Canis lupus familiaris: one gene and its partner. The main gene of each other region encodes a partner of the protein of the gene in region 2 in a complex. Links are inferred from orthologs where the notes say so. Each region holds a gene or a part of one and is shown on either strand. Other genes may lie near its edges. The genes, in order: BMF and RPS6KA3.

Region 1 (8,668 bases), on a different chromosome or scaffold from region 2:
TCTCTGGGGACCTTCCTTCTAGAGCCATCATAAGGAAAAAACAAACTGGTACAGAGGTGGGAAGAGAAAGAGAGAGAGAGGAAATTCTCCAAAATAGATAGCTGTGGCTGGCGGTAACCAAGGCATTACTGTGGTCAGGGGTTCAGAGCCTCAGATCTCCAGCCAAGCAGGTCCTGACACTGCTGAGTCTGCCCTGCACTGGCAGGGAAGGAACGGTATAGAGGGAGGAGTCTGCTTTGACAGTGATGAGAGGTGGGGAGTGAGGCTCCTGACCTCCCTGACCCCTTTATCCCTGACAATCTTTTCTGGTCTCTGCAGCTCAGAAGGCTGGGCCCCTGCTGCTTGACCTTAGGGGCTGAGAGCACAGGAGGCCAAGCCACTGGGTGTCCTTCAGAACCAGTCTGAGAGAGGGGCTGGGAAGGCCTGGGAGAGAGGTCTTAGAAGAGATGACACTAGATGGTGTGACCCTCCTCCCATCTTGCAAACTACCCAGATCCACTTAGGTGATCCCTTTTGCTCTCAGCCCTACTCCCCTACATTGGTTATTTTTAACTTCTTATAGGGCCATAGGCCCTTTTGGGAAACTGTTGTAAGCTATGGAACCACCCCTCAAAATGTTTGTGTGAGCCCACATATACAATTTAGCCAATTTCAGGGGTTCATAGACCCTACAGCTAAGGACACCCTGGTGAGTCTGGCAAGTACATGGATCCCAGATAAAAATCCTGCTCTACCATCTTCCTTGCCTTGTGGCCCCAAATCTGCTGTGATGAAGCAGACAGAGCAGTAGCAGCTTGGAGCAAGGGTTGGGGAGTGGAGTAGGTGAAGAGATAAGGGGAATTAGTATGACCTCTCCCTCTCAGGGCCTATGATGCCTGAGAAGACAGGTTCAGAGCTGCTGAGTCCTTCAGTTCCATTCCTGATCCTAAGTAATACACATGGTCATTACTGGCCAGCTTGAGACATTGGCCCAGGTGGAAAGCCATTAAGAAGAGAAGGATAGAAGGAAGGAGGGGAAAGAGGTCTGTGCGTGGTGAATGTGGCAAGGGCTCCCCAGTGCCCTGCATGGAAGCTGGGCTTGGTTTCCTAATTTACCCACATGTGGCATGAATGCTAGGTCACCCTGACCAGGTGACACTCCCTCTTAGCCAAGCCTCCTGGTAAAGTAACATACCTCCTTTTGGCTCCAGCACCTCTTTCTGAACATCCGTCAACTCCTGGAGGATGGGGCTGCTGGCCAACTTTGACCCTCATCTTTTTTCCCTTTTCTCTTTTCTCTGGACTTTGGAGATAGTGTTTTCCTGCTCTAGCAACCACAGCCCTCAATATGCCTGGTTGGCTCTCTTTCAGGTATGCTTTGAGGGAGCTCAGGGAAGAATGGGTAGGAAAAAGGTACAAGGAGACTTCAGGCTCCTCTGGGCTAAGCATTCCAGCTCCACTAAACTTAAATCTGCCTGAGTTTACAACCAGAGAGAGCAACTTGGTGGTCAGAGGACTGTCCATCCCGACTATCCCTGGGGTCAGGCCCATCATCGACCACCCAGTCTATTGCAGTGACTGGCTCTCTCTCACTGATTTTGGCTTCTTTTATCTTTCTTAAAATGCAGCCTTAGTTAAGTTACTCTCCTTCCTCCTCCCCTTCCTCTTCTTCTTCTTCTTCTTCTTCTTCTTCTTCTTCTTCTTCTTCTTCTTCTTCTTCTCTTTTTCTTTTTTTAAGGATTTTATTTATTCATGAGAGACACACAGAGGCAGAGATATAGGCAGAGGGAGAAGCAGTCTCCCTGCGGGGAACTCCATGCAGGACTCGAACCCAAGAGCCTGGGATCGTGACCTGAGCCAAAGGCAGACACTCAACCACTGAACCACCCAGGTGTTCCTTTTCCTTCTTTTTTTTTTTTTTTTTTAAGATTTTATTTATGTATTGATGAGAGACACATAGAGAGAGGCAGAGACATAGGCAGAGGGAGAAGCAGGCTCCCTGCGAGGAGCCTGATGGGAGACTGGATCCCAAGATCCTGGGATGATTACCTGAGCTGAAGGCAGATGCTCAACCACTGAGCCACACAGGTGCCCCCAAGTCACTCATCTTCTATAAAAAAATCTTTGGTGGCTCCCTTTTGCCTCCAGTACAGATTCTCCAGCCTAGCATTGCATGGACACCTATGTACTCTGACCTGAATCTATCTGTCCATGACCACCCTTTCCCAAATCCTGGGATGCAACCAATGACCCCTCCTTCAGCCTTCTCTGCTCCCAGGACAGATTCTCCAGTTCAGCATTTTATTCTGCTGCCGTGGGCTTAGGGTACTTTACCTGGTTTTCCTTATCGAAAAATCTCCCCATTCTTCAAGGCGCAACTCAAAAGCCATCTTCCTGAAGCTTTCCCCAGTGTTTTGTGTCCTGAATTTTTCTGCAGCTTCCAGCAGTCCTTGTCCCTAAAAATTAACACATTTCATGTCACATTCCATAATTTTCGAATCTTCCTCTCCTGAATAAACTGTAAGCTCCCTGAGGACAGGCACAGGGTTTTGGCTCCTAATCCAGTATTTGGCACAATGCAGGTATTCAATGAATGTTTGTGAAGTGGCCTGGGGACTTCCTTATGGATAGCAGGAGATCCACAGGACACATAATCTTCTTGGCAGCACAAACCCCATCTCTGGATGCTGCCATAAACAGGATGTGTGTCAACTGCTCAAGCAGCCCCTGCATTCTCGATCTCCCCTCTCCTCGGCTACATACTTATTTTGTAGGTGTCCACGCCCCCTCAAGAAGAGGACCTGAGGGTCCCTCTGGATGTGTTAGATCTGAATGTCACTCAGTAGTAACAGTGCCAGACGCAGGTGTCCGCATGCTTCCCGAAGATTCGCGCCTGGAGTTTCTTTCCGCCGGGCTAGGCAGGCGGGAGGGCGCTTTGCCACCAGGCCGGGGTCCACGAGGACACGCACCTTGCCCTCGACGGACGCCGCCCGCTGCGTCCTCCTCTTCTCCCTTTCTGGACGCTCCGTCATTATTCAGACCATTCCCGAGAAAGAGAAGACAAAAGTCATTTTGGCGCCCCCTCTCTCCCTTCTAATGGAGAGGACCAGGGCCTTTCCGGTCCTTCCCGGGCTTGCGCTCGGGATCGGAATCTGCGCCGACTACGGCTCTCCGATTGCGTTTCTGACGGGAGCCGGAATTTCGCTCGGCCCCTTGCAGTGTTTCCAAGGGAAGGTTGGTACATTCGTGACGGTCCCTGGCAGCCGCCCAGCCCGGGACTCGGGGCTCCGCTCGCCATTGGCCGCCGGGGGCGTGACGCGCCGGAGGCGGGGCCTCATCAGCTGTTTGCGGGATGCCCCGAGCGGGCGTATTTTGGAAACAATACCGCGCGGTGCACGGCGGCCTCCTCCCGCGCCGGCCCGCCAGCTGCCGCCGCCGCCCTTGCCCGCGCCGCCCGCCACCCGCCGCAGCCCGGTGAGCGCGCGGGCGGCCGGGGGCCGGGCGGAGTTGGATCGCACCTCGGCGGGAAGTGGGGCGAGGAGTCGAGCTGCGCATGGGGGCCCGAGAAGGGTTGGGCTGCGGGCGTGTGGGGGGACCATGGAGGACTGGAGCGCCGGGGTGCGGGAACGCGGTGCAGGACCCTTATCTAGGTGCGCTGCTCCGCGAGGGAACTTGGGGGCAGTAGCATTTCAGACAGCAGGGAGTTGGGTCCAGGTGGGCAGGGGAAGCTGCGGTTCACTGCTGAGCAGCCCTGGGCTCCCGAGAACGGCCCGGCCTCTGGATCTGACTCGGGGGTAGGACAGGGGGTGGGGGGGCGTCCAGCCTCCCTGCGGAGTCTGAAGGCTCCTCTCCTTAACAGCTGGGCTCTTTCCCTCCTTCCCAATTGACTCTGGGCGCCAAGCCCCCGAGTGCTCGTCACGCTGGACCCTGGCGCGGAGCCCTGGCATCACGACTCGGAGGCCGAGACTCTCTCCTGGAGTCACCCAGGTCTGCTGTGTGTCGTGTGGGTGTGTACGCATGTATGTGTGCGTTCCCAGATTTTAACTCCTACGGAACCTCCGAGTGCCTGGCTATTCTCCTAGGAGGAGGAGTCTTAAGTTCAGCATCCCTCTTACAGCCCTTCGGGGCTGAGATGGTTCCAAAGCGGGCTTTGGTTCCCCTTTGCTAGGAATAAAACCTTCCCAGGCAGTGCTCTCAAGAAGTGTGCTCCTCCTACCAGTTTGGACATCACCTCCTCAGCTCAGGCGAAGAGAGCAGAGGGTCTCTTTACCATATCCCAGTTTACACTTGACTTTGCCCAGCACCCCTCGGGAGGCTCCCACGTACAGAGGAGCCACCTGCAGTTCTTGTGGAGAATGGGTAGGGTCCCCAGGGCTTGCAGAGACACACCCTATGGCTGCATTTCCCCGACAGTCCAGTCCAGGCAAGGGTTGAACTTTGGGGCCTTGCTGGGTGGGGGAGGGGGAGGTGACTGGCTTCAAAGGAAAACCCAAGACAATGACTCCTGCTTGTGATTAGCTTTGGAGGGCCCCCTCTTAGCCTGGGATTGCCAGTCTGCAGAGAGAAGGCTGAAAGGCTGGAGAAGAGCCCCTGCCAGGTGACTGGCAAGACAGTACTTGGTCCTTTCAGCAAGAAACTTTGTTTCCTGTTGCTGATAAGCTGAAGATCTCCTACCCTCCTTTGGGAAACACTTTCTAAAGAACACCATGTGCCTGTTTTGCCATCCAAGCTGGCATCTCCTCACTCACCAGGGAAGAGGGCAAAGATAGGGTCATAGTAGCTCATGGACTGGTTGGGATGGAGGGAAGGTTGAAGCAAGCGCCTCGGAGAGAGCTTGCATTTTGGAAAGCCAAGTTTCTGAATTTAAGTGAGATTCCTTTAAGTATCTTACCAGCCTACAGACCATTTGGCTTGTTCTTCAAAGGCAAGAAAGAGACTGGGAGACAAAATTCCCAGGGGATCTCTAATTGAATCTGGCAGTGACAAACAGTATCCCTCTGAATCCCAAACCATTCAGGTAGTTGTTGCTTCTGGCTGCCCCAGGGACCCTAACAAGTTCCTGGTGTATGTGTGTGTATGTAGGGGGCTGAGTTGGGAGCTCAAGATGCTGGGTGGCTCCAAGCTCAGATTTCCAAGAACCATCAGGTGGAGCAAGAGGAACTTCTTTATTACCAAGAAACTCCTATCAACAACCTGAGTAGTACAGAGACAGTGAGTGAGGTCACAAAAAGAGGGCTGAATTTCACTTCCTTCTGTAAGGAGGGTTAGACCAATCTCAGGTTCGGTGCCGACAGGAATGGTAGGTAGACTGTGGGCAAAGAAGATTAAAGTCATGGAGACGAGTGAGTAGGCTGAGCTGGGGGAGGCTGGCCACATTGCTGGATGTTGGACCTACCCTCTAGGCCAAGCTGTGGTGGGCAGATGGCTCTGCTCTGTTGGGAGGCCAATGACTCACTTGGGTCTTTCTGCCCTCTCTCCCAGGACCCACTCTTACCACACCGTGGAGCCTGTTTGTTGTGTTGAGCAAGCAGGGGGTGGAGACTAGGGTAGATCGGCAGCTGGGCGGGGCTTAACAGGTTTGGAGGGAACCTGGCTGCCCTAGAGTTGCTGGCTTTTGTTTTTGCTGCTGAGCCTGGAGCTCAGTTCAGACTGAAATGAGAGCTTGGTGGTTACTCCTCAGGGCAGTGAGTGAGTGAGTGTGTGTGTGTGAGAGAGAGAGAGAGCGAGCGAGCACTGTGTGTACAGCCAGTCCCAGCACCCTCTGCCCTCCCATAGCCACTCACAGGGTCTGGTCTTGTTGACATTTCCCCAGGTGTCCTGCATGCTTGTAGCCGTTGATCATACCCCTGCTAGTGCTCAGAGTCAATAGCAGTCAGACTTCATGACCGGAACCAGCCTGGGTCAGGAGAAAAGACCAAGGTGGGGGGTGGCTCCCAGAAGGCCCAGGGAAGAGGTATGGAGCAGTGAGGCTGTCCTCAGCCTTTGGGGCGGGTGTCATCCTTGGTAGTACTTTATCACCAGTTGTCTGTCATCAGTACCTGGCCCTACTCACCCAAATAAGAAGGGGAAGCAGGAAAGAAAAAAGGGGAGGGGAATCCCTCAGCTTTGGCCTGGGTAGAAGCAGCATCCCAGAGGCCTGCATTGTGCTCTAACAGGGGAGATGGAGCCGCCTCAGTGTGTGGAGGAGCTGGAGGATGATGTGTTCCAGCCAGAGGATGGGGAGCCGGGGACCCAGCCTGGGAGCTTGCTCTCTGCTGACCTGTTTGCCCAGAGCCAGCTGGACTGCCCCCTCAGCCGTCTGCATCTCTTCCCTCTCACCCACTGCTGTGGCCCTGGGCTTCGACCCACCAGCCAGGAAGACAAGGCCACCCAGACCCTCAGTCCGGCCTCCCCAAGTCAGGGTGTCATGCTGCCTTGTGGGGTGACCGAAGAGCCCCAGCGACTCTTTTATGGTGAGTGCTCTTAGCCTCAGGACTCCTCCCATAGAGACTGGGGGAAAAGAGGGGACTTCCCCTCCCCAAACGTGCACTTTGTTATTTCCTTCCCCAAATTGAACAGCAGGGGCTATTGATTCCTCGATTCTTGTCATTCTGCTTCTCTGCTTGTCATTGCTCTTCACCTGTGCTCCTTAGGCACTGAGAAGGGCAAATTGCTATGCCTGCCATCATTTCTGCCTTTTTGTCCGTTTCTGCAGGGATCCTTGGGTCTGTGGTACCTTTTGGGATAGGAGAGTGGTACCTGGGCCTTGAGTTTTACATCCTGTGGCCCGTTGAGCGGCCCAGCCTTTTGTGTCCTGGGAGTGATATGCCTTTTGTAAATTGGCCAATGTGGCCCCAGTGAAGGTTGGGAGATCTGTGTGAATCGCTGTTGACACTGAAGGGAAAAACCCGGCCCTTTCTGGGAGGGGAAGATTCCTGAAGGCAGAAGGTGTCACTTGGGACTTTCTGTGCTTGGAAGGGGAACTAGAGAAAGAGGTTGGGCCTGCCGGGGCTCGATGCCAGTAGAGGGGCTGTTTCCAAGGCTCAATCAGACAAGACCCCTTCATTTGTGGGCTTAAATGGTTTGCTTTATGAGTAACATGCCCTCCTCTGGCAAAGGGACAGGGTTAGACACTTAGTCTGCTTTCTTCTTTTAGCACAATAGCTTATGGAGGGAGGGGAAGGGCTTGGAGGCGAACTTGCTATGTCTGATGGAGCATATTGAGAAGACGCTGCAGTTATTCCCAGAGGGAGCTGCCCTGCAGTTCTTTTTGGAGTTTGAGGAGATGGATAAGGCCGGCAGGGAAGAAGGAACAGAGGAAGAAGGCAGGCAGGCAGGCACCCCTAGCGGCAGCTCGACTGCCAGCACTGGGGTAGGGTGCAGCGCTGGTCTCTAGCTCTTGCGGTCTGGCCTGGGGCTCCTCCAGAGAGGAACTTGGCTATCCAGTGGGTCTGAAGAGTTTGCTCTCCCTAGTTTTAGTACCATTGTCCCGAGCTGTGGGACCTGGGCCCAGCCAGACGAAAAAGTGAAGGCACATTTTGGTTTTCTCTTTCTCTGCCTTGCTTTGCTCAACCCAGGAACTCTGGAGAGCTGCCTCCGGTGCTTTTCCAGAGAAGAGCTTCAACCTGCTACTGCATGAAAAATAAATTGTGGTCAAGCATAGCTTGGTAAATAAAGACAGAAGGCTGGCAGGTTCACCCACACATACTACTTGTACCCTGGCACTGCCTGTGAATGGAGAACTACAGGGAAGGCTGGGACCATTCCCTCCCGTTCTCTGAACGGCAGCTTTTAGACGCCTGGGCAGCCAGCAGATCTGTCTGTCCAAACCTGGCAGAGTGCCCCGATGAAGGCCTCGGCCCCAGGTCTCAGCAGGGAGCGTCAGGCACCTCGGGGTGGATAGTGGAGTTGTGGAGAACGCTGAGATGTGGGCCCTCTGTCTTCGCAGGCAACGCTGGCTACCGGCTCCCTCTCCCTGCCAGTTTCCCTGCAGGCTTGCCTCTCCTCGAGCAGCCCCCGGAAGGGCAGTGGCAACATCGAGCAGAGGTACAGATTGCCCGAAAGCTTCAGTGCATTGCAGACCAGTTCCATCGGCTTCACATGCAGCAAGTAGGCATGGGAGCTGGGAGCTGGGCTGGGGCGGGAGGAGAGTCTTCTGGGGCTGGGGGGTGGGGGTGGACCAGGACCTGCCTCAGCCACTCCGTGTCTGCCGGGACCCCAAGGGCATGGTCCCGGGGTCTTGGCCTGGGCTGCTGTGGTTCCGGTGAACTGGGTGGGCCCAACTGTCCGAGCACTCCTGCCCTCTCAGAGCTCCAAGTGGGTTACCTGCCGCCTCTGGGCTCAGGCTTCTAAGAGCGGTTCGTCCCACCTGGGGCAGGAAAGCCCCGATCTCTCCTGGGGAATGGGTGGCTTCCGCAGCCTCATCTGCCACACCGCGTCTGCCCGAGGCCAGGTGGGGAGATCGCCCCTCGTGGACCTCAGGGGAAGATTCCCAGGGAGCCGCTTTGAAACCGGCCAGTTGGGGGGTGGGGGGCGCCGGGCTGAGGTGCCGTGGGAGCCGGGTAACCGAGGCCGCCGAGGGATGGGCCTGAGTGGGGGAAAGTGGTGGAACCGGTTGTAACCTGACACTTTCCAGCTGGGGAGGCTGCTCCTCATTGTCTCTGTCTGGGAACCGGGACCCGGGACTCTGGAGAGCGGACCTCGGAGAGTC
Region 2 (8,510 bases):
GTCTGCACTGGGAAACTGGCGCCCTTGACATCACCCAACATTCACAGCCTGCTATATCACATGTCCCTGAGTATGGAACTCTAGAGCAAATCTTGTCAATGATCACAATGATATGAATTTTTTAGTGTGTGATAAATTTTTAAAAAAATCTTTACAATTCTGCAATTCAGACTTTCGATAAATGATCTACTATATTTTTTTATCTATAATTTACCAATTATCATGTCCTTGGTCAAGAGTGCACATCCCAATTATGCCAGTCTCCTTAAATAAAAATAGGATATACTCATTTTAATTTCCAGAAACATACTAAAGAAAAGGCAAAGTCTGCCTATACTTGTTTCTTTAGGTTTATCTCTTTATCTTAAAATTTAAATGTACCAAAGAAGTTTCACATTTTGGATCAATCCAATTAGTATAGGAAGAGCTGCAAAAAAAGCAAACTTTCCTAAATTTTAGTTGAACAAAAACTGACATCTTATAATATCATAATCACTGAAAACAATGAAGTGCTCAGTAATGTGTCACAGTTACTATTGACAGTTGACATGTAACAATACCTGTCCTCTCCTCAGATCTTCACTTGGGGGAAAGAAAAAAACCTGAAAGGTGATAGAAATGAAACAGGAAAAGGAAAAGAAACTTAATAAAACATTTTTCAAAATCAATGATCATACTTCAATAGAATGTATTTCCCTACAGATAAAAATAAGAAACCTAATATCAATATAGTAGAAATACTCCAGAATCCAATACAATCTTTGAAGATAAAAATGGATGCACATTCACTGAAGATGGTTTCCAACACAAGGGTCTCATTTTTTATAAAGAAAATATTTATATAATTAATATTTTAATGCATTATGGGTACTTGCTATTTAAAACAATTCAAGGTGGCTATTTTTATACAGCACATTTCTATAAAGCAAAAATAACCTTAAGTATATTAAGGCTAAATTAATTAAAATTGTTCTTATTTACATTTACTATCATTTATCCTTTATTGAAAACTTAGAAAAAGTGTCACTTTAGGTCAGGCTTATGATCTAGTAAATGTTATCTCTGACAGCAGTGGCAAGGAATTTACAGAATAGTCACAATTCCTTGATATCTGTCTCCTAAACCGTCAGACACTCAAAAACATACTAGCATCTTTAAATAACTCACTAAAGAGTTGTGAATTCACCTAGACTATTTAGGACACTATTTTGTTTTTAATCTTGTACTAACCTTGACTGCTTACATAGTACTTCCTTTATTATCCTAAATTTGCTTCTTTAAACATTTGGCCTAGTTCTAGCCTATCATGTTATGACCCATGTTTGAGTTAACCACAAGGGTTTTTTTGTTTTGAGCACCATGAGACCCATGTGAGGTCTTAAAAGCAGGAAGGCTATGTAAAGGAATGAAGAAACTGCCTTGTATTTTCGGTGAGGTACTCAGGTTTTTAAGATTGCTCATATTTCAATGTAAGATTAAAATGATTAGAACAGAAGTAACATTGATAATCACCCTATTCCTGACCATCATAATTCACTCAGTGGATGTCTATTGGATTCATAATATACATGTGCCAGGCACTGTGTTAAGTGCTGAGAATACAAAGGAAAAAAAGGCTCTCCTTTCAAGATTTTACAATCTACTAGGAATCAGACCACAAATGTAAATCTCTATAGAGACCAACCCTGACACCTTTTAGCCCAGAAAGAAAAAATTTCGATGAATTTACTCAAGTAAATATCTTTCAAAAAATGACTTTATTCTGGTAAAATATAATTACTTTCTATTAAGAACTTACTGGGGGAGGAGATGGCATAATAGCAGACATAATATTAAGTTCAATATTAGACTTCTGAATGAAAATTCTCAACCTTTTCCTTGCTGGCTTCAATTTCCAAAATTGTATCAGAAGTAATTTACTTGAAACAGATGAACCACCAAAGGCAACAAAATATCTAAAGGCCATTAAAAAATCTTTAAAAAATTAATCTAGGCAACTCCAGCTCCCTGTGACATATCTTATGCCAGAATATCAAGAAAATTCTTTGAAAATGGCAAGTTGTGGAATCCTATCTGCCAGGTTCTGGAAACCATGACAGTAACTGAAATAACTAGGCTTTAACAAGTGCGATCGCTTATAATACCGTAACTGTTTCTGAAAAATACATGACCTCCAACTACTGGCTTATTTATTTATACCCTGAATTTTTCCACAAAGGATCTGAAGCAGCTACCTTAATATAAAGCAAAGCACATGAATTATACCCACTCGGCTTTGAGTTATGGCTCTGTCGTTTACTATTTATAATCTTTGTGCCCTTAACTTCAGATATTCCGTTTCTTAATCTGTAATAATGAGGATCACAACCCTACTCTGTTGGGTCATAGGAAGGATAAAATGAAATAGCATGTACCACAGTATCTGGCATATAGTAAGTGCTAAATAAATATCAGTTTTGTGCCTTCCTTATCCAAATGTATGCTATGTAGAAAAAAGATAAGGTGGAATTTTAAATGATTTTTTAACACATTGATACGTGCCAAGCAGAAATGTGGACTGATTATGAGTTGCAAATGTTACCGTTTGCATGTAACAATCAGGCTCAAAGCAATTCAATTTCTTTTCACAAGGTCAGCACTTTGAGAACATATTTTATAAAGCTTTTAGCTATATTACTCAATGCAAATAAATCTGAAGGAAAAAATGAATGAAAAGAGTCTGTTTGCATACTAATTTCCATACTATCCATTCAAAGGATGATAAAACATTTTAAATTCAATTTCCTTATAATACATCGATAGTATTAAACAGGCTAACAAAAATTTAAATGTAATCCTGCTAGTCTTAAAAACGTGATTTCCTTTTTAAAAATATTTAGAAAACATCTATCAATATCTTTTCCATTGAAGAGCAGCGTTTAGCTTAGATTTTAAAAATATGATCCAAGTCACAAAATACTAAGTACCAGCCGTAAGCACTATTACAACTCTGCTCACGTTAAGGAGAGCAAGTAAACATTTTATACAGCAGTGGGTGGAGGTGACTAGGAAAAAATTGAAAAGCAATTTGAACTGACTCCCCTCCCCCTCCATTATACCCGAGAATGCAAGTGTCCCGCATCTCAGATCAAACTGAGCCTCGGTCTTACTGACGTAACCAGTAACCCTATCCACCTCTCACACTGCGGAGGCCGGCAGGGCAGCGGCTGCCGCCAAGTACACCACTCATCAGAGCCTGCCCCATTCCACCCCCGCGTTTCAGTCATGCTTTCCAGAAATGGGGTCACTCACTAACTATTACACACACGCAGGCTATCATCCTGTAATCCCCCAAAGTCCGCTGCGGGGATAGAAGATAGCAAAAAGTCAAGAAGGGAGAATCACAGACGTGCCACCATCAGGAATTGATTTTCCACTTCGGAGAGGAGCGCTGATGCCCTGGAATGGGTCTTGTCTGGATTATTTTCGCAGACCCCGAGTTGGTTCTGGGACAGGGACGGCTGCGAAAGCTCGATGCTAGGCTGTGTCCGGGGAAATTGTTTTGCCGTGTTTGGGTATATTGTTTTGGGTTTTTGGCACTCGGTTAGGTGTCTCAGGGACCGTCATCGAATAGATCCCGGGCGAAGAAAACCTGAAAGCCCTTTAGGGCGGCTAATGATCGCCTTGAACATCACCCTCTCACCTCCATGGACAGGAAACTCAAGTTAAAGCTCCTAGGGACTGGGGTCCTCGAGCTCAGCGACCTCAGAAATGGGGGAGGGGGGTGGATCTCAGGCTTCCACTTTCTCCTTTGCACCAGCAGAAACCGCTGCGGCAGACAGACTGGGGGGAAGGCAAAAACCCTTGGCTGTCCTGTACCCCTTACCCGAAGCCCCCACAGGTCGCCAGTCCTGCCTTGGGCCGTTCTGGCCCCTGCGCGCCCGACTCACAGCACCAACTCCCTCCCCTGGCCGGACTCGGGAGTCCCTGCTTCCCAGCGAACCCAATCCATACCCCTCCCTTACACTCCAAAGTCGCCAGGGTCCAGGGAAGCCCCCAAGCAGGCAGGGCCAAACTTCCCAACTCCTCTTCGGCCCCCGCTCCGCTTCCCGGTCCCCCCACGCAAAGTTGATTAAAATCAGCTTCTTGCAAAGCCCCAGCGCCCACTCCAAACCCTACGCGCCACCACACCACAGCCCCCCGAGCGAGGGAGGGGAGGTGAGGGTGCGGGTGGAAGAGAAGGGCAAATAGACCAACCCCAACTACCCAAACCGGAATCCCAGACCGAGGGGAGACGCGAGCAGCAGAGGAAGGGGCCAAGTGGCCAGCTCCAGGGAGGGGAGCTGGCCGGCGGGGGCGAGGGGAGGGGCGCGCCAGCCCCCGGCCGCCCGGCGGCACTCACCTCAGCGCTGTCGGACGGGCTCTCCACAGCCATCTTCTGCCACGGGTCCGCCAGCTGCGCCAGCGGCATCTTCCCCCCCGGCCCGCCGCCTTCACCGCCTCCTCCCTCCCCGCCCGCCCCGCGGCCGGCCCCGCTCTGTCGCCGCCCGAGCCCCACGACAGCAGCAGCGGCGGCGGCAGCAGCAGCAGCACCAGCGCCGGCTGCCCGGGAGAGGGCTCGGCGCCGACACCGACCCTCGAACGCCGCGCGCCTGGCTGGAGATGTCCGCGCGCCGAGCGAGAGCCTCGCGCCGCTGCCGGGCACCGGGTCTCGCCCCTTTCTTCCTCTCCTCCTTCCGCCGCCGGGACTACAGCTCCGCCCCCCCCGCCGGTTCCCGCGCCCGCTCCCAGCAGAACAGCGGCGGCCGCGCGCTCCCCCACTTCCGCTCACAACATGGCGCCTAAGCGATACCTGTCTCTCAGAGCGAGGCTCGGCCGCCGCCGCCACCGCCGCGCGCACCCGGGGGCGGGGCTTGGGAAGACACGCCCCCGGCCGCCGCGCTTCGCTCCTCCCTCCTTCCTCGCCCCAACCTCAGCTTCTGGGCCTCGCCTACTTTCAGGAAGGGCGAGCCGGAGAGATCTGGGGGCGTCGGCGGGCGGCAGGGGAAAGAAAAGGGGAAGGGCAATGAAAGCTAAAGGCTGGGAGCCCTAGGCTAAGGGTCCGAGCAGGTCGGAGGCTACTTAAGGATGTAGAGAACAGTGGTCTCCGCCTAGCTGGGGAGGGAGGTGGGCGAGGCACAGTGGGCGCAGTCGGGTGTCAAGGACCCGGGGAGTGAGTGGGTGTCTTTTCGGTCTGACTCCTCAGTGGGTGTTTGTGGGGAGCATAGTGTCTATGGGCACATCCTTTAATGGGCCAGGATCCGCCCTATCCAGGCTCACACGCTGGGCACTCACCTGCCGCCCCCTCCTCCGTAACGTCCCCCAGGATGGGGACACGTAAGCTTTGTGCCCTGGAGCCCCCTGGAGGTTCGTCTCTCGATTTGATTCAAGGCTCTCCAAATCGAGGCAGTTGTGTTATATCTTTAATATTTGGAATTCATTTGTCTTGCTTGAGTCGCCCCCCACCCAAAGTCTGCAGAGCCCTCGGGCATGAACCTCGACTCTCAAAGTCCCCGCTCCCTGGTACCTAAATCTGTACGAGGAAAAAAAACAAGGAGGTTCCTTGAGGCTGCCCCACTCAGCAGAGGTTGGGGAATTATTTTAAAATATCTTGTTGGCAGGAGCCTGGGGTTCTTGCTCCACTGTTGACTCTAAATAAAAGATTAGATTAAAAAATCAGGCTGGCCCAGGGTGGAGGAGAGAAAGCGAGGGAGGTCCTAACTCCTCCAGCCCAAGATAGGGAAGCCCTGGGTTAAGGAAAACCAATCCCCAGACGGCAACGGAATCCAAAAGGACTGAGAGTTTGTGGGAAGAGGCCTGGGCGTCGGGACTGAGTGTCGCTGGGGTGGGGGGGTGGGGGGTGCGGTTCCACCTCGTGTTCCCAACGCCAGGTGCCTAGCAGACTCCGTGCGCCTGGGCAAAATTCTGTAAAAGTCGCTGGGCTGAGTGGAAAGCTACTGCAGCCACTGGCCAACCCTCTCTACGAGAAGGAAAAAAAGTAAAGGGAAATCTCCGGGAAGGCCAGTGCCTTCATCCCTTCAGGCCTGGGCCCAGGCGTCCCGGTCCTCCCACGCCCCGCGGCCACCTCGCGTCCCCCGCTGCGCTTCCGGTGCACGCCTTTTAACAGCTCGCTTTCATCATCCCGGGACCCAGACACCTGGAGAGCCCTTGTCTTCCTCCCTAAGGCAGGTGTGAGGTTGAGATTAGAGCCCCACTCCTGGCGGGCCAGGTCTGCGCGGGCGGTGCAAGGTTTCTCACTGGCCCCGAAGAAGGCAGGTGTTCGGATCTTTCTGCTGCCTTCGCCTGCACGCCCTCTGGCACAAGCTCGAGGCCCGGGAGCCTCGTGGCCACCAGAAGCGACTCCATCTGTTTAGGGGGCCCAAGGAGGTGGCCGGAAGTCCTCGCCGTGCGCCCTCTCTCGCAGCCTTGGACTCAGGGGGACAGCTCAGGGTTGAGCAACATCTGGGCAGGCTCAGCGTGGTCTGTGCGGCGGGGGGTGGGGAGGACTTAGCTCGTGATTGTGTCACCTCCCCCAACATGCTTGATTCTAGTGCTGCAAATCCAGTCTGGACCCAGACTCAGCTAATTTGGCAGCACAGTCTCCGTAATTCCGGAAGGTAAAACCAGTTCGCAGAAGTTTAAGAATAAGGAGTTGTGCGCTGCTTTATATTTATGTAGGAAGTGCCTAATTTTTCTTTCTTTCATTTACATTGCAAACCCATATTACCATTCCTTATAGCGAAAAGAAGTTGGTCAATTTGGTTAGTTTAAGGTAAATTGGTCCACCAAACTGATCAGTTATTACAACTGAGATTCTTGCTTGAGTAAAAACATACCTTGTATTTAAGGAGGCAGTTATTATGTGTCTAACACTAACCCGTGCGAATTATTCCACAGTAATAAATCAAGTTGTATACTGAAAAGTTGATTTCGGTATCAACTTTTATTCTTTTTACCTTGAAAACTAGAAGAATACTTCTAAAACGAAGTTACTGTGGCCGGTACTCATATTGCAGGAATTAAGAATGAAATGAACTGTTAATAATGTGCTGTCTACCACTAGCACAGCCGTCTTGCACATAGGATCAACTTGATAAGTATTTGTGAATTGATTTAGAAAAACACCCTTCTCTTTCCTTTTGTCCAAAGAGAAATGTGAATTTTTGTTGTTGTTGTTGTTGTTGTTGTTGTTGTTGTTGTTGTTAACAACCTTTTTTTCATTTATTTCTTTTAAAATCCAAAAGTTGTGCAACCACTCTCTCTGGGTGGGATAATTTGAGAAAATCAAATGAACCTGGGGGATATTTCTTGTAGGTGGTGGTAAAAAGAGTTATTTGAACATAGAAGTTGATATTACCCTGAACAGGAGTACTTTTTGCTTTCCCGTTTAAGAAAGGAAAACTCTTAGTTATTCAAAGAAGCTGCCTCTAGAGATCACCCTGTGCAGGCTAATATGGTAGCTACTAGCCACACATGGCTCTTGAAATAATTAAAATAAGATTGGCTGGTCACAAATGAGATGTGCTGTAAGTGTAAAGTTCACACCAGATTTCACAAACTCAGTACAAAAAAAAAGAATATAAAGTAGTTCGGTAATAATTTTTCTATTGACTACATGTTGAAATAGTATTTTGAATATATTGAGTTAAATAAAATATTTTATTGAAATTAATTTCACCTGTTTCTTTTTTTTTTTTTTTCACCTGTTTCTTTTTATGTCTTCATATAGCTACTATACATTTTATATATGGGGCTTACTTGTCAAGATAAGCACTATAGTTCTAGAGGACAGCACTCCTTTAGAAGTTTCACATTGAGCCTTTTATGTCATAATATAATGTTAAGTGATATCCTCACATTCCACTGTCTTTTGGAGCTCCTTGGTACAAAACCAGCACAAAAGTCTGATTCTATGCCCCACCTCCTGCATAAATCTCCCACTCAGAACCAAAATATTGGAAAGTTATTACTTGAAACTACAGCAAAGGGAAACAGCAAACCTCAGTCGAAAATCTGGACTAGACTTCCAAGAAATCATTCCTGATGTATGACAAGACAACCAAATTTAACTTCCCCTGTCCCCAACAACTTCCTGCTATAATTACAACCTTTGTATAGAAGTTTAAATGGGCATTTACTTAACAAAATAACATTTGTTCAAAAAATGGAGTTCCATCAGTCTGGAAAAGTTACAAGATGACTAACTACAGATCGTGGCACAATCTCTTTCTTACACATATCCAAAATTCACTGCTCTATTACATATAGCTTTGTTACTACTATAGAAAACCCATAGAGTGTAATCATCATCATCTCTCTGAAGAGTCTTTTTTCCCTTCACATTATCTGAAGCATATTTATTTTTCACAAAAAAGTAAAAAGTAATTGCTAGAGACTATGTCTTTACAGAGAGAAAGAAAGATAAAACTTAGGCTCAAATTTTATCTCACATAAGACAGTAATCAAACAAAATACATGGTGACATATCTTCC

What was found.
Region 1: the proteins of RPS6KA3 (region 2) and BMF are in contact, whole or in part, in a crystal structure (PDB 8R58), measured with the Homo sapiens proteins. The link is inferred for Canis lupus familiaris from reciprocal best matches to the Homo sapiens genes RPS6KA3 and BMF. Residues at the interface, in NP_004577.1 of Homo sapiens: Trp252, Phe259, Phe268, Leu281, Ala283, Lys284, Leu285, Gly286, Met287, Pro288, Leu299, Arg300, Phe303, Lys304, Arg305, Asn306, Asn309; in NP_001003940.1 of Homo sapiens: Glu8, Leu10, Glu11, Asp12, Asp13, Val14, Phe15, Gln16, Pro17.

What each region holds. Positions count from the first base shown.
Region 1 is NC_049251.1:7,602,078-7,610,745, reverse strand, and holds the start of BMF (bcl-2-modifying factor), read left to right. Parts: upstream 1-3,351; 5' UTR 3,352-3,453; intron 3,454-3,502; exon of another isoform or gene 3,503-3,629; intron 3,630-3,838; 5' UTR 3,839-3,966; intron 3,967-5,791; exon of another isoform or gene 5,792-5,932; intron 5,933-6,134; 5' UTR 6,135-6,139; coding exon 6,140-6,431; intron 6,432-7,906; coding exon 7,907-8,067; intron 8,068-8,668. UniProt on the Homo sapiens protein: May play a role in apoptosis. Isoform 1 seems to be the main initiator.
Region 2 is NC_049260.1:16,241,406-16,249,915, forward strand, and holds the start of RPS6KA3 (ribosomal protein S6 kinase alpha-3), read right to left. Parts: upstream 4,466-8,510; 5' UTR 4,451-4,465; coding exon 4,382-4,450; intron 603-4,381; coding exon 561-602; intron 1-560. UniProt on the Homo sapiens protein: Serine/threonine-protein kinase that acts downstream of ERK (MAPK1/ERK2 and MAPK3/ERK1) signaling and mediates mitogenic and stress-induced activation of the transcription factors CREB1, ETV1/ER81 and NR4A1/NUR77, regulates translation through RPS6 and EIF4B phosphorylation, and mediates cellular proliferation, survival, and differentiation by modulating mTOR signaling and repressing pro-apoptotic function of BAD and DAPK1.